Nothobranchius furzeri: one gene and its partners. The protein of the gene in region 1 interacts with the protein of each later gene in a biochemical or structural test. Links are inferred from orthologs where the notes say so. Each region holds a gene or a part of one and is shown in the gene's direction. Other genes may lie near its edges.

Evidence for each region.
Region 2: the proteins of map3k2 (region 1) and smyd3 are reported together in a solved structure, tested with the Homo sapiens proteins (2 studies listed by BioGRID and IntAct, with this or other methods). The link is inferred for Nothobranchius furzeri from reciprocal best matches to the Homo sapiens genes MAP3K2 and SMYD3.
Region 3: of the proteins of map3k2 (region 1) and xiap, one has a biochemical effect on the other in vitro, tested with the Homo sapiens proteins (2 studies listed by BioGRID, with this or other methods). The link is inferred for Nothobranchius furzeri from reciprocal best matches to the Homo sapiens genes MAP3K2 and XIAP.

What each region holds. Positions count from the first base shown.
Region 1 is NC_091743.1:83,211,032-83,215,443, reverse strand, and holds the start of map3k2 (mitogen-activated protein kinase kinase kinase 2), read left to right. Parts: upstream 1-1,467; 5' UTR 1,468-2,307; intron 2,308-3,538; 5' UTR 3,539-3,556; coding exon 3,557-3,611; intron 3,612-3,868; coding exon 3,869-3,987; intron 3,988-4,122; coding exon 4,123-4,163; intron 4,164-4,240; coding exon 4,241-4,340; intron 4,341-4,412. UniProt on the Homo sapiens protein: Component of a protein kinase signal transduction cascade. Regulates the JNK and ERK5 pathways by phosphorylating and activating MAP2K5 and MAP2K7. Plays a role in caveolae kiss-and-run dynamics.
Region 2 is NC_091749.1:34,481,570-34,485,219, reverse strand, and holds part of smyd3 (histone-lysine N-methyltransferase SMYD3), read left to right. Parts: intron 1-581; coding exon 582-669; intron 670-2,883; coding exon 2,884-3,058; intron 3,059-3,650. UniProt on the Homo sapiens protein: Histone methyltransferase. Specifically methylates 'Lys-4' of histone H3, inducing di- and tri-methylation, but not monomethylation. Also methylates 'Lys-5' of histone H4.
Region 3 is NC_091741.1:25,549,245-25,553,451, forward strand, and holds the start of xiap (E3 ubiquitin-protein ligase XIAP), read left to right. Parts: upstream 1-1,362; 5' UTR 1,363-1,521; intron 1,522-2,666; 5' UTR 2,667-2,716; coding exon 2,717-2,956; intron 2,957-3,042; coding exon 3,043-3,568; intron 3,569-3,670; coding exon 3,671-3,770; intron 3,771-3,859; coding exon 3,860-3,938; intron 3,939-4,207.

The sequences.
Region 1 (4,412 bases):
TTTTTTCACAATAAAACTCCCTTCAGATTAGAGAAACAATAGTATTTTTTATATTTTTATGCTGTTGTTGCGCTTCTAATGAAAGCAGTGAACAACAAATATTTTTAAATAATATTTAGATAAAATGTTCAAACTATCAGAAGTAGCAATCATTGTCTAAAAGTAATTATAATCATTTGCTCATGTAAATTCAAACAAATTGCAATGAATAAAAAAGTCTAATAATCATTATTACTGCATTTATCTGAAAAATCATACAATGAGGCGCACGTTAATATGTTGATCCCATCGCAAGACACAGTTTTAGTGTTATTGATCTGAAGTGAGCGGTGTGTTTAAAATGTGATCAAATTAATTCCATCTTTTAGTTCTTTTTAAAACACAGAAAGATTTTATTTACCTGCAACGTTTCGTTTGCGGCTGCAAAACCCAGGTAAATAAAACCTTTCTGTGTTTAAAAAAACTAAAAGATGGAATTAGAATTTCAACACAGCAAGAACACACCAAAGATAATCAAACGAATTGTTCTTCTTGCAGCAGAATTTTGCTGTTTGGGAATATAAAGTGGTAAAATTATGCGTTGAATGCACATTTACACATAGTGTTTAATGAAACAATTTAAATTTTATCATAACATGACTGGATTTGACTGCAAATAACTGAACTAAATTGGAATTAATAGGGGTCAAGTTAATCACTACTGAATGAACTTGGACCAGCATGTAATCAATTCAATTCAATTCAAAAATACTTTATTAATCCCAGAGGGAAATTGATTGCTGTAGTAGATCAGAATAATAATAATAATCAAGCCATCAAAGATTTGTTGTATATTACAATGGCTGTTGGCAGGACGGATCTCCAGTAGCGGTCAGTGTTGCAGCGAAACTGAAGAAGCCTCTGACTGAAGACACTCTTCCGTTGTCGGACAGTCTTGTGAAGAGAACGCTCAGGGTTGTCCATAATTTTCTTGATTCTCTGGAGAATCCTTCTTTGCATTATCTCCTCCAGCGGTTCCCGAACAGCCGAAACTCTGGCTGAGTCCTTGAAAGGGCTTGGAGTTCCTCCATCTTGTTGACCAGTGATCTCACATTGCCCATTATGATCGATGGAAGAGATGGTTTGAATTTCCTCTCTCTCTGTGTCTCCGTTTTGCTCACGCTCTGCACCCACGCTTCTTGCATTTTAGCTCATTTGGGATTTGTGGCTTCAGTTGAGGTATTATTTCAGCCTTTCCAATGTTAATCAGCTGCTCCCGATTGTAAACCAGCTTGTTGCCATGGTTACACATCATAACAAATGCTCAAAAAGTGAAAAAAGCTAAAAAAAATAGCAGTAAAAATCCTCCAAGCTTCACAGCACCAGAAACAGAAAAGTAAAGTGTCCAAAAAATAGTTTTTCTTGAGAAACTAGAAGAAAAAATGCTAAAGAAAAGGCTAAACTTACATATAGTCAACAGAGCTACTCCAACATGCAGCCACCCAGAGCAGCGCAGTTCCGGAAAAAAAGTCACTGGAATGAATCAGATAATGAGTGGGCCTAGTGTGTTTGGAACAGCAAGTCACACTGGATGGCATTTGAATGACCTGAATTGACCTTGAGTATCGTTTGCTTTGAATTTAAATTATGAGGAAATGTGACTTGTCTAAACGGAAGCTTAATTTATACTATAAAACACTGTGTTTACAACTTATTTAATAAATTGGAACTGAAATGAAGCTCCAAACAAATGCTCAAAAATCTAATAAATATTTTTACTTGTCATGTTTGTATGATGTTTCTGTTGGACCCTCAGTGAGGTTAGGGGTTAACACTAGTTAAGCTTCTCAAAATAAAAGTACTTTCGGTTAACATTTGTTTCAAAATAAAACACAGAACGCCACTTTGCCTTCCACCACGAGACGTGCTGCTTTTATTTTATAAACACGGCGTAATTATTTCCGGTGTGTTTTTAATCGTACATGTTAGCTCGATGAAACTAGGGGTCAGCATCGAGCAAGGTACAGTTAAGCAGGCTGTGTAGCACAACAAAATGAGATCTGTGGATTGAATTAGCCTTTGAACTGTCGCACTGGAGTGTAGCGTGCCGAACATAATAAATATCACCCTGTCACTTCCCCTCCTGGAGAGACGAAGCGGCTGAACCAACAGCTACCGGGCCTCGTCGTCGTGGCCCAGCAAGACTCGAGTGAAGTTGACAGCGGACTGACAAACTTCTGCTTCCTCCAGCGGCTCTCCACAGGGCCCGGGGCTCCTGTCACCGGTCCTGTGGTTGAGGAAATAAACCGAGATTAAATTATTCATCAGGTGGGATTAGGCTGAAGACAAAAACAATCTCACTTCGTTCATGAACTGTTCCAATAATTGTGCAGCGCGGGCGAGTGCTGGTTAGCTCGGTTAGCCCAGCGGCTAGGAGTTAGCTTTAGCGTTTGATTAGCCTGATAACTTCCCTTGCCTGACAGCTAACAGTGGAGTCATTACCATTTCATCCCCCAAAACCTGCTGCTTAAACAACAAATTGTATTTTTCAAGAATTTCATGTCAAGATAGCAGCTATTTTGAAATGTTATCCTGGCATGAGTCGTAATGTAAAATTAGCTAGCAACAGTTGTTAACTTCCGGGGCTTATGGGTTACAAATACAGTTATCTTCTAAAGGCTTTAATAACAACAATACCATAAAGTAATTAAGGCAATATTCTTAATATTCTGAGAAATAATACCTGTGTGTATTTCTAGTTGGAATATTAGTGCATCTGCCGTTCCTTAAACGTTTTAACTGATTTAAAATTACAGGTTTGTGTTTTGTTTTTGCGTCAACACCAGCCAGCTTCTGTGTTAATGATGCCACTTTAGTGAAGAATTGCCAACACTATAATTGTCTGTGAAACTTGTGTTCAGGTGAACCTACAGAGGTTTCCATACATCTTTGAACACAATGAAACTGTATTTATTATAAAGCAGGTAGCTGCAGATGTAGTATTATAAGCTGTTTGGTAATAAAAACGGCCAAAAAGCCAGAAAACCTCTGAAGTCCATGTTAAGAATAGTTTCCATAAAGCATGTTATGTTTCTTGTTGCTTTTTGCAAACACACCTCCAAAATAAGCAACAGTAGAGCTTCTTGGACTCTACAGGTGAGTTAGGGTGTAAAAAAATGAGCTCATAACAGGATGAAATAAAAGAAGACAAGAATGCTCACTGCATTTAAAGGCAACCAAAAAAGTAACTTCACCCCCATATTTGTTGAGAAATAAGGATTTTTGGTTCTGCAAAAATCAAACCAAGTGACGCATACGATGAGCCAGTTTCAGTGTCATTCCTGAATTGGATCATAGGAACAAAACAATTTTCCACAAGATTTTGTTCCCTTAAAAGACATCAGAGCAAACATTTCCAATAATCCCCATTTATGCATTTTCTTTCTGCCTCTGGCTCACCAATTACAGATCTGCGGATCAGTCAGCAGCTCCATGCTTTCTAACTTGCGTCTTCATTAAACTGAATGCTATTATTTATCCAGTTGTGTTGCTGTTTCAGGAGAAAGGAATCCCTTTGATGGGAGAGTCTTCTATCCTGGCCTCCTGGGTCAATTGCCGTGCCATGATGATGGGTATGTGTGCGAGCTTTGTGATCATGTTACAGCTGGCAGAGAGCCAGCTGAGTCTTTTGTCTAAAAACTTAAATAATCTTTTTTTTCTGTAAACAATGTCTCTTTTTCTATTATGACATCTGTTTAAGCGACGAGTCATGAGCTCCTGCTGGGGCTCATTTGTTTTTATCTTTTAGGTTTGCGATTGTTAGCATAATGATCAAAGTGTCACTTGTTGCTGTGGATAATCTGTAAACCCGATTAATTTATCTTTGCAGATGAGCAGGAGGCCCTGAACTCCATCATGCAGGACTTGGCCGAACTGCAACGCTCCAGCCGCCCTGCTACCTTCCTGTCGGACCTAGGCAAACCCAAAGCCTCCTCGCCCAAGAACCAGGTAACCACAGAAATGTGATTTGGACATGAAGTGTGAGAAAAGCTCAACAAAGCAAACATGTTTCTGAGATCTCAAAATAAAACCCACGTCGTCGTCCCAATGGTTTTTATGCTCAACGTGACTTTGTCTCCACAGAATGATGTGAGAGTGAAGTTTGAATTTAAAGGAGAGAAAAGGTAAACATTTGTTCTCTAATGCTGTTCCTTCAGACCAGCAGCAGCTGCAGCCTTCTGACTTCTCATCTTCTCTGCAGGATCTTACAGTTTCCTCGACCCGTCAAGCTGGAAGATCTGAAGGCCAAAGCTAAAGTGGCTTTTGGTCAGACGATGGACCTTCATTACACCAACAATGAGGTACAAAGCTGGAAGCTTTGCTAACACACTCAGGAATTCTGATGGACTTGTTATAATAAGATTAACATCTAC
Region 2 (3,650 bases), on another chromosome or scaffold:
CAAAAAATGTACTAATGCCTTTGTGTGAGTGTGTGTGTGTGTGTGTGTGTGTGTGTGTGTGTGTGTGTGTGTGGTTGAGATAAACAAGAGTGAGTTGTTTTCTGGGACTACCGCATTCATGTTATACAGCTGACCTTTGTGTTGCAGGACACGCACAGACACGTTCTCTTTCTTTAATCTCCAGCTGATGATGGCAGTCTGCATGTTGTGAGTTAGTTGCCATAGCAACAGATGACTGTTGACATCAGACACCAGCGGGGTGTCTTTTGGGTTATGTTGTGTGTGTGTGTGTGTGTGTGTGTGTGTGTGTGTGTGTGTGTGTGTGTGTGTGTGAACTTAACTCTAGTAAACTGACTGCATATTTTTATGCAATCATGCAAATCTAAATGTAATCTAAAGATTATTTCTGAACCCTCCTCTTTCTCTGACATGTTGCACATTCTGTCACACGTTTGCATTTAAACCTTTCCGTTTCTTTTGTCATCTCATCTCTAATTTGTGCTCTGTAATCATGCATAATCTGTAGATTTGCACCATTAGTGTGTTTTTAGTTAACCCCCCCCCCCCCCTTCTTTTATCAGGATGGGCTCATGCTGTCGGGGGAAGGAGAGAAATGCCGGCTGTTGAAGGAGGCTCTGCCGAGACTGGAAGGACTAAAAGCAGAGTCCAGAATCCTTTATCTTTAATATTCTCTGAGCCAGATAATTCCCTTCTGTTATCACAATATCAAAATGTCTTTTAGATTTTTACTTTCAATTATTGTTAGGACCAGTCATTTTCTTTGAAATCCTGGTTTGATATTTTTGCTCATTTGCTAACATCAAAATTGGTTCAAATACTGTGAGGGAGGGACTGGGTTGAGAATGCTTTCAGAAATATAAATGATTGTTTATTTTTATCACTTTACAAAATGCAATGTGAGTGAGTCCAAATATGCAGCCAAAGTCATTAAGAACTATCTTCAACATAAAGAATAACAGGAAGTCCTGGTAGTGATGGTCTGGCCCACACATATTCCAGATCTCAACGTCATAGAGTGTGTCTGGGATTATATGAATAGACAGAAGGATGTGAAGAAGCCTACATCCACAGAAGATCTGGGGTTAGTTCTCCAAGATGTCTGGAACAACCTACTCGCTAAGTTCATTTAACAGCAGAATAATCTTGTATTATAAAATTAATCATAGAATAATCTTGTACACCAAAAATTCATGATATCAAGTCTCAACCCATTGTTGCCATTTATATATTGATAATCACACCAGTGCTGAAATTCAGCAACAACGCACGACCTGTGAGTGTGATATTGTTTATATACAACAGTTCTACCTGCACATTTTATTTTTATAACAACAATAAGCAACAACAGATTATGATTTGTTCATTCATTTAATCATTTATCAGGCTTTGCCTACACAAATAGTCCCAACACGAAATGAAGACTCAGACAAGGCTGTTGCTAGGCAACACAAACATTTTCTACAACAACGGTTAGAACGCTTGTGCACATCGGAGTGATACTTTTTGTAAACAGTCCCAGTGTTGTTATAGTCCAATATCAGCTCTCTTGGACAGTCTCTTGACCAATCAAATCACTCGGTCGCAACTAACTGTTGTATAATTGAAGGCATAGCATAGTAACTTCATCAAGAATTGGCTGACTACACGACAGACGATGTAGATGTCATTTTGCACAGCTGCATCGTGTTCTTGTGACCTGTAGCTGCGGATTACTACAGTGCTTTGTCATGTCGGCTCCTGTAATTCTTTGTTTGTGTTAGTTATTATTTTCATTTTTAGTCAATATGATTATTGAGGTCACAAATAAAATTAGGATAAATATTGAGAAATTTTAATAACTCTTTAACATAAAATGCTAGCTGTTACCATTCACGTACATTGTTTATGCTAAGATAACCCTGTCAGAATACTGCCAGATTAGGAGAATGAGTGTTACAAAATGCTTTTTCCTACTTATCTAACTCTGGAGAATATGGTGACACAAAATTTCACTTTGGGGTGGAATACCCCTTTTAAGACAGTGTTTATCAATTCTGGTGCTCTACATGTTTTCTATGTTGCCTTTTCAAACACCAGTGTTTCCCTGCTTCCACACACACCTGACTTAAATGAGTGGGTGATTAACAGGCATCTGCAGCACTTGATGTCTTCATGAGGAGCCAATGCAAATATTTAAATCAGGTGCACGTATGGAAAACATGCAGGACATGGGGTCCTGAGGACTGGAATTGAGAAACACTGATTTAAAAATAATTTTTTTTAGAAAATAGTACAAATAATGTTGCGTTCAAATCTGTGTTAATCCAGAGGGAAATTTTAAAAACAAGACAAATACTTAAAGGATTATAAGACTTGAGCCAACAGAAGCACATGCTCGTATCGTGGGATTGCCTCCGGATCGTCACCCTGATCATAAAACGCATGCATGAGTTAACATTACAGCAGCAAAGTAAATTAATTAAAATGCCAAAAGACAAATTTGCTGACTTGCTATAATCTTAGATCACATTAGAACGTTTAAATAAGCTACTAGAGGTATTACTTTTTCTACTTGGAGATAAGTTCAGACACTGGCTGCCAGTAGAGACTTAGGACATGATTAACTGAGCAATTAAGACTCTTAATTAAATGTGGGGCTGTGCTTTCATGTTCATAATTCTGGCTCTGAGCAGTTTTCATCATAACAGAAAAGAGAAGAAAAGACAGGCACTACTTAATTATGTCTTTACATAAAACAGTATTAATAACTTTATGCAAAGTGGTTCTCATACATACTTCAGGCTTTCCTCGGCAGTCTCCAGTGTCACTCTCCTTTTAAAAGCTTCTAGGATCAGTGTTGCTTTTCCTTAATTCTTCATCTAGATTGGGAGGAGATGTTGGAGGGTTGTAGTCATCTGTTGTCAGCTGTTAAGGGTGATGTCCCTGATGAGAACCTCTACAAGCTGAGGATTACAGACATGGCTCTAGACGCGTCTGTTCACTTGGGACGCTGGGAGGAGGCTTTGAGATACGGCGTGAGGACTCTTCCAGCGTACAGGTAGGTAGTTTTTTTTATCTTAATCTCAGACAGGCGACTCTCACAGGATTCCCCCAAAAAAGATATTAGATTAAATACACTTGAATCCCTGGATTTGTGGAAGTTTTTCAGGTTTTATTGGATTAATCGTTAAAAAATACATCATTCACCCTTGTAAATACTTGGATGTTTTGATCATATAAGTTAATTTCTTATCTGTGCAGTTGCATGCTTCACTAACCATTTGTAGATGAATTGAAATGTAAATCTGCAGCAGCACAAAGAAGCAATCGCCCAAATGATGGACGGTTTCACGATTACTCAAGGACGGCTGATGTTTGACGAGTCAGTATTGTGCTTATTTACAACACCTCCTGTCACACTTTGTTTTCAGTCTTTGTGTTTAATTACACAAAAAAATCAATCCTGGATTTTTCATGTAAAAAAAATAAAAAGTATCATTGCTGAAAACTTGAGTCACCAAATATGTCAATTAGGCTTCAGAATCAATCAGAGATTATTTATTTTGGTCTGTGTTGTTGGTATTCTGTCTACTGAGGAAACACGTTTTCTTCTGGTGATCTTCTCTTCTGATTATTTAGTGACCGGCCAA
Region 3 (4,207 bases), on another chromosome or scaffold:
AGAGTTAAGCACACATGGTTTAAGTTTCAGCACCACCAATGTTAACATTATCTATGTTTTAAGAACCTCTTTAAAACCACTAACAAGCATAAACAATAAGGAAAATAATCTTCTAAACAATCCTATTATATTATTATATTATTATAATCCAATTTAGAACTCAAATGAAAAAGGCATAAGTGCAGAACTTGAGTAACCCTTTCCAATCAAGCATGATTTATTGTCTTTGGGCTAGTTTTTGAGCAACAGGCGTTCTGAATTTAAGCATTAGATGTTGGCATGCCTGACAATGAAAAATGTTCTTTCCACACAACTCTGACCTGTAAGGTCCAAACCTAAAGACAAAACATGCCATTTTCACACAGATTACCCCTTTTCAAAGCAGCCGTATGCAAACCAACTCTAAAATCAGCTGGTTCACACCTGTCGGAAAAAGTGGACTGATCATACCTAACATCATAATAATGATGATTCAACAAAAACCTGACTGGAGTGGGTTTTAGAATACCAAGTGATCGTTTATGAAGTTATTGTTATACCACAGGTAGTTTCTGAGTAAAGTTACAGCTAAGCTAAACTTGATGAGGCACATTCAAACTATGCTGTTTATGTTTTCTTAGAAAATATGTATCTGTGAAGATGATCATAACATAACAGAGATAGAAAATGTATCTTCTCCATTCTAAATTATAAGAATACCTGTGAACCCCCACCCCCTAAAAAAATCCCTAACGATTTACTGGAAATGCATGGGGCAGACCAATGCTCGTGTTTTATTTGACTACTACGGCAACTTTTAGTTTGAATCAAAAAGTTGACATGCATAATCACCAATATGGAAAATTATCTCAGGTTGATATATGACTGTTAAAGAGTATAGTTATTTTATGTATCCCATTAGCTTTCACTGGCATTTATTTCTGTTGGTGACAGATGCAGGTTGTATTATCAGTCCCTACCCTGTGCCTTGAGTTTCTCTGCTCCAACACCAGGTCCATCGGTTGAATCACCTCTTCAGCAGCTCTGTAACCTTTCAATTACTTGCTGATACAATCAGGTGAGAGAGCAGATAAACCTCAGATAAACATGGAGGCCCTCAAAACAAGAGATGACCGCCACTGTCCTAACAATCCTGATTAAAAATGGTCACTAATATTGTAGGTATAAGATTATGACCTTCAGACATTGTTTGAGGTGCATGATGGGATTACATTAAAATTTTAAATGAACGCTTTTTGCTGGTTACTGACCATATTTAGGCAACCCTAAAGTATGTTGGCAGTTGATAGTAGACGGCATGTTTCTGTGAAACACCCACGTGGGCGTACTTTGATCATGTGACTGAAGAGGCGGGGCCAAATGTTCTAGGTTCCCAGATTCCTCCCTTTGCTTTCGCTTCCTCATAGTTTTTATAAAACAAACTGAGCTCTTTAATCATCCTATTCTGCTCCAGGTCAAGTTCACACTAAAGACAGACTAAAGTTACAAGCTGAAGACCGGAACCAAAAGGGGCGCGTGAAGGTAAATACCGTAGTTTTCCGGCTACGGTCGATTTAGGCAACTGCGCAAATTAGCAAACAAGCTAACGAAGCTAGCTAACTGACACTTTAGCAAACTGTCAAAACCCAAAGTCACTATCTCGACATTACGCACCTACATCAAAGCAGCTGATGTGTTTATTTTTAGAATGCAGGCTTATTGAAATGCGTGTCCTTGAATAATATAGGCTAGTTTTTAGCTTTTGGTAACTCGAGCATCCACGTTTAAGCAAGGGTCACCAGCATAGAGAGCTACTTCATGTGTACTGAGCCACATTAAGGGCTACCAGGATTCTACAGTTCTGACATTTGAACTGGAATAGATCAGAGTTAAACCAAACTTCATTTATAATAAATATATTTTATTTATTTGGAAGGATTTGTAGTTTTAAAATCAATATTGATGCATTTGTAATTAAAAAAGAAGGCTGCAGATTTGTATTTCGTTTTAGATATTTGCCATTTAAAGAAGTGGCTTTATATTATGCCAGGAGGCACCATGGTGCAGTATCGTAAATTGTGCATGTTTGTCATACGGTTAAACACACATTAAGTTGTGACACACTCGTGATCATGGTGACTACTTTTTTTTTTTATAAAGATTGCCAACAACAGTGCAAAGATCAAAAGCTGATCCTCATCAATAAAGCATCTCAGATAAAATCATACTAGATGTTACAGTTTTAGGACTAAGCCTCCACCATGTAGTGGGCTTTCTGAGTATTTGGGTTGTGAGAACACATTTTCCATGTGCCAGTGTAGAGGTGGCAAAACTATTCCCCCCATCCTGCTTTCTTAGCTGGCGTGCTTTGATCTTGGGTCATTAGCCCGTGTACAGCATGTACTGTGACTCCTTATTACAGCAAATACTTTATCAGTGTTTGTCACTGTTGTGTATAATCTATTTAGGAATGCTGCTTTAGTGTAGATTGTATCAGGTTACGCCCTTTGCACCGCCTTTCCTGTTCCCATGCCTCACACAGAGTATCCAGCACCAGCATGTGATTATAGCCTGGCTGCCTCTCCCAAAGGCTTAGCCTGGATGCTCAAACCAGCTCCCTGTTGTTTTAATTCAAGTACATTTAGGACTTTTGACTAACCTTCAAATCTGCTTGTCTTTCTCCTCAGACTTCATACATTCAGTAGCTGTATCTATCCAGGAAGGTCCTAGTTCAATTATGTGTGATAATGAAGAAAATGAGCATCTGGAATCAGATGGTGCTATGGATTTTTCATTGCTCAACAATCGCCTGAACTCCTTCCGCCGCTCCATCCTGGCTGAGCAAGTTCCAGCTGAACGACTGGCACGAGCAGGCTTCTACTTCACCGGCAACGCAGACCGCGTCCGCTGTTTCAGCTGCAAGAAGACTGTGGAGAACTGGACCAGCGATGACACGCCTGTGGAGCGGCACAAGGAGGTAGATCATGGATTCAAAGTGTTGAACGATTGTGACTTTTTGTTCTGCTTTAGAGGTTTAAATAATGATCTCTCTTCCTGGTACAGGTTTCTCCAACGTGCTTGTTTCTCAAATGCTGCCACCGAACCAGTTTCAACCCGAGCTTTCATAACCCGCTCACTAATGGCTACAACGAGGCTGCAGAACACATGGAGTATCGTTTGTTAACTGGAGCCGTGACTGACGACACCATGTACCCTAAAGCCCCTCAGATGGCGTCTGAGGAAGCCCGCCTTCAGACCTTTTCCTCGTGGCCCGTTGATTCTCTTATGAGACCCAGAGACCTGGCACAAGCTGGTTTCTTTTATTTGATGAATGCTGACCGAGTGCGGTGTTTCTGTTGTGGTGGCGAGCTGAGTGACTGGGAACCAGAAGACAATGCTTGGAGTGAACATTCCAAACATTATCCAAACTGCTTCTTCATACTTGGGCATGATGTGGGGAATGTGCCGCTTCAGGAGAGCAGTTCTCAGGTCTCCATGGAGAGTTTTGAGGGGAGACTTGGCAGCTTTGCTGGTCTCCAGCTCCCTGTTGACCACAAGAGTCTCGCCACGGCGGGCTTCTACAGCTTAGGTACAGCGCCATCGTCATCTGTGGACAAAACTCATACAAAAATGAGTCACTGTTATATCGTTGTTCTGATTTTGTTTTGACACATCTGATTTGTGCTTACAGGAATGGGAGATAGGGTGATGTGTTTCAGTTGTGGTGGGAGTTTGAAAGGTTGGCAGCCTGGGGAAGACCCCTGGGAACAACACGCCAAATACTACCCAGGGTTAGAGGAAACATCTGTCTTTTCTTGGCAATAAAAATTCATTATGGAGACATTTTTATTTATGCTGCTGTAACTTTCTTCCCCATTAGATGCAGCTTCTTGTTGGCAGAAAAAGGAGTAGAATTTGTCAACAGCATCCAACTAAATGGACCCAAACAAAGTAGAGCTGTAAGCAATCTCCTTCTTTTTTTCTTGCTATTGTGATTATATGACAAACCATAGCTTGTAACTTTACCTGTCAATCTGATTCCCAAGTCCCTTTATTTATAAAAAATAAACAATGAAAAGGTTTGAATCAGCTGGAATTGTGTTTTAAATCATTTTACTTGTATTTGGTGTGTTTTAGTGAACTTTATGGAACATAAGGAACCAAATGTACTTCTCTTTAGGTCTCGGAAAATGACTGTGATGCCCTGAATCATTAGTAAATTTGGTTT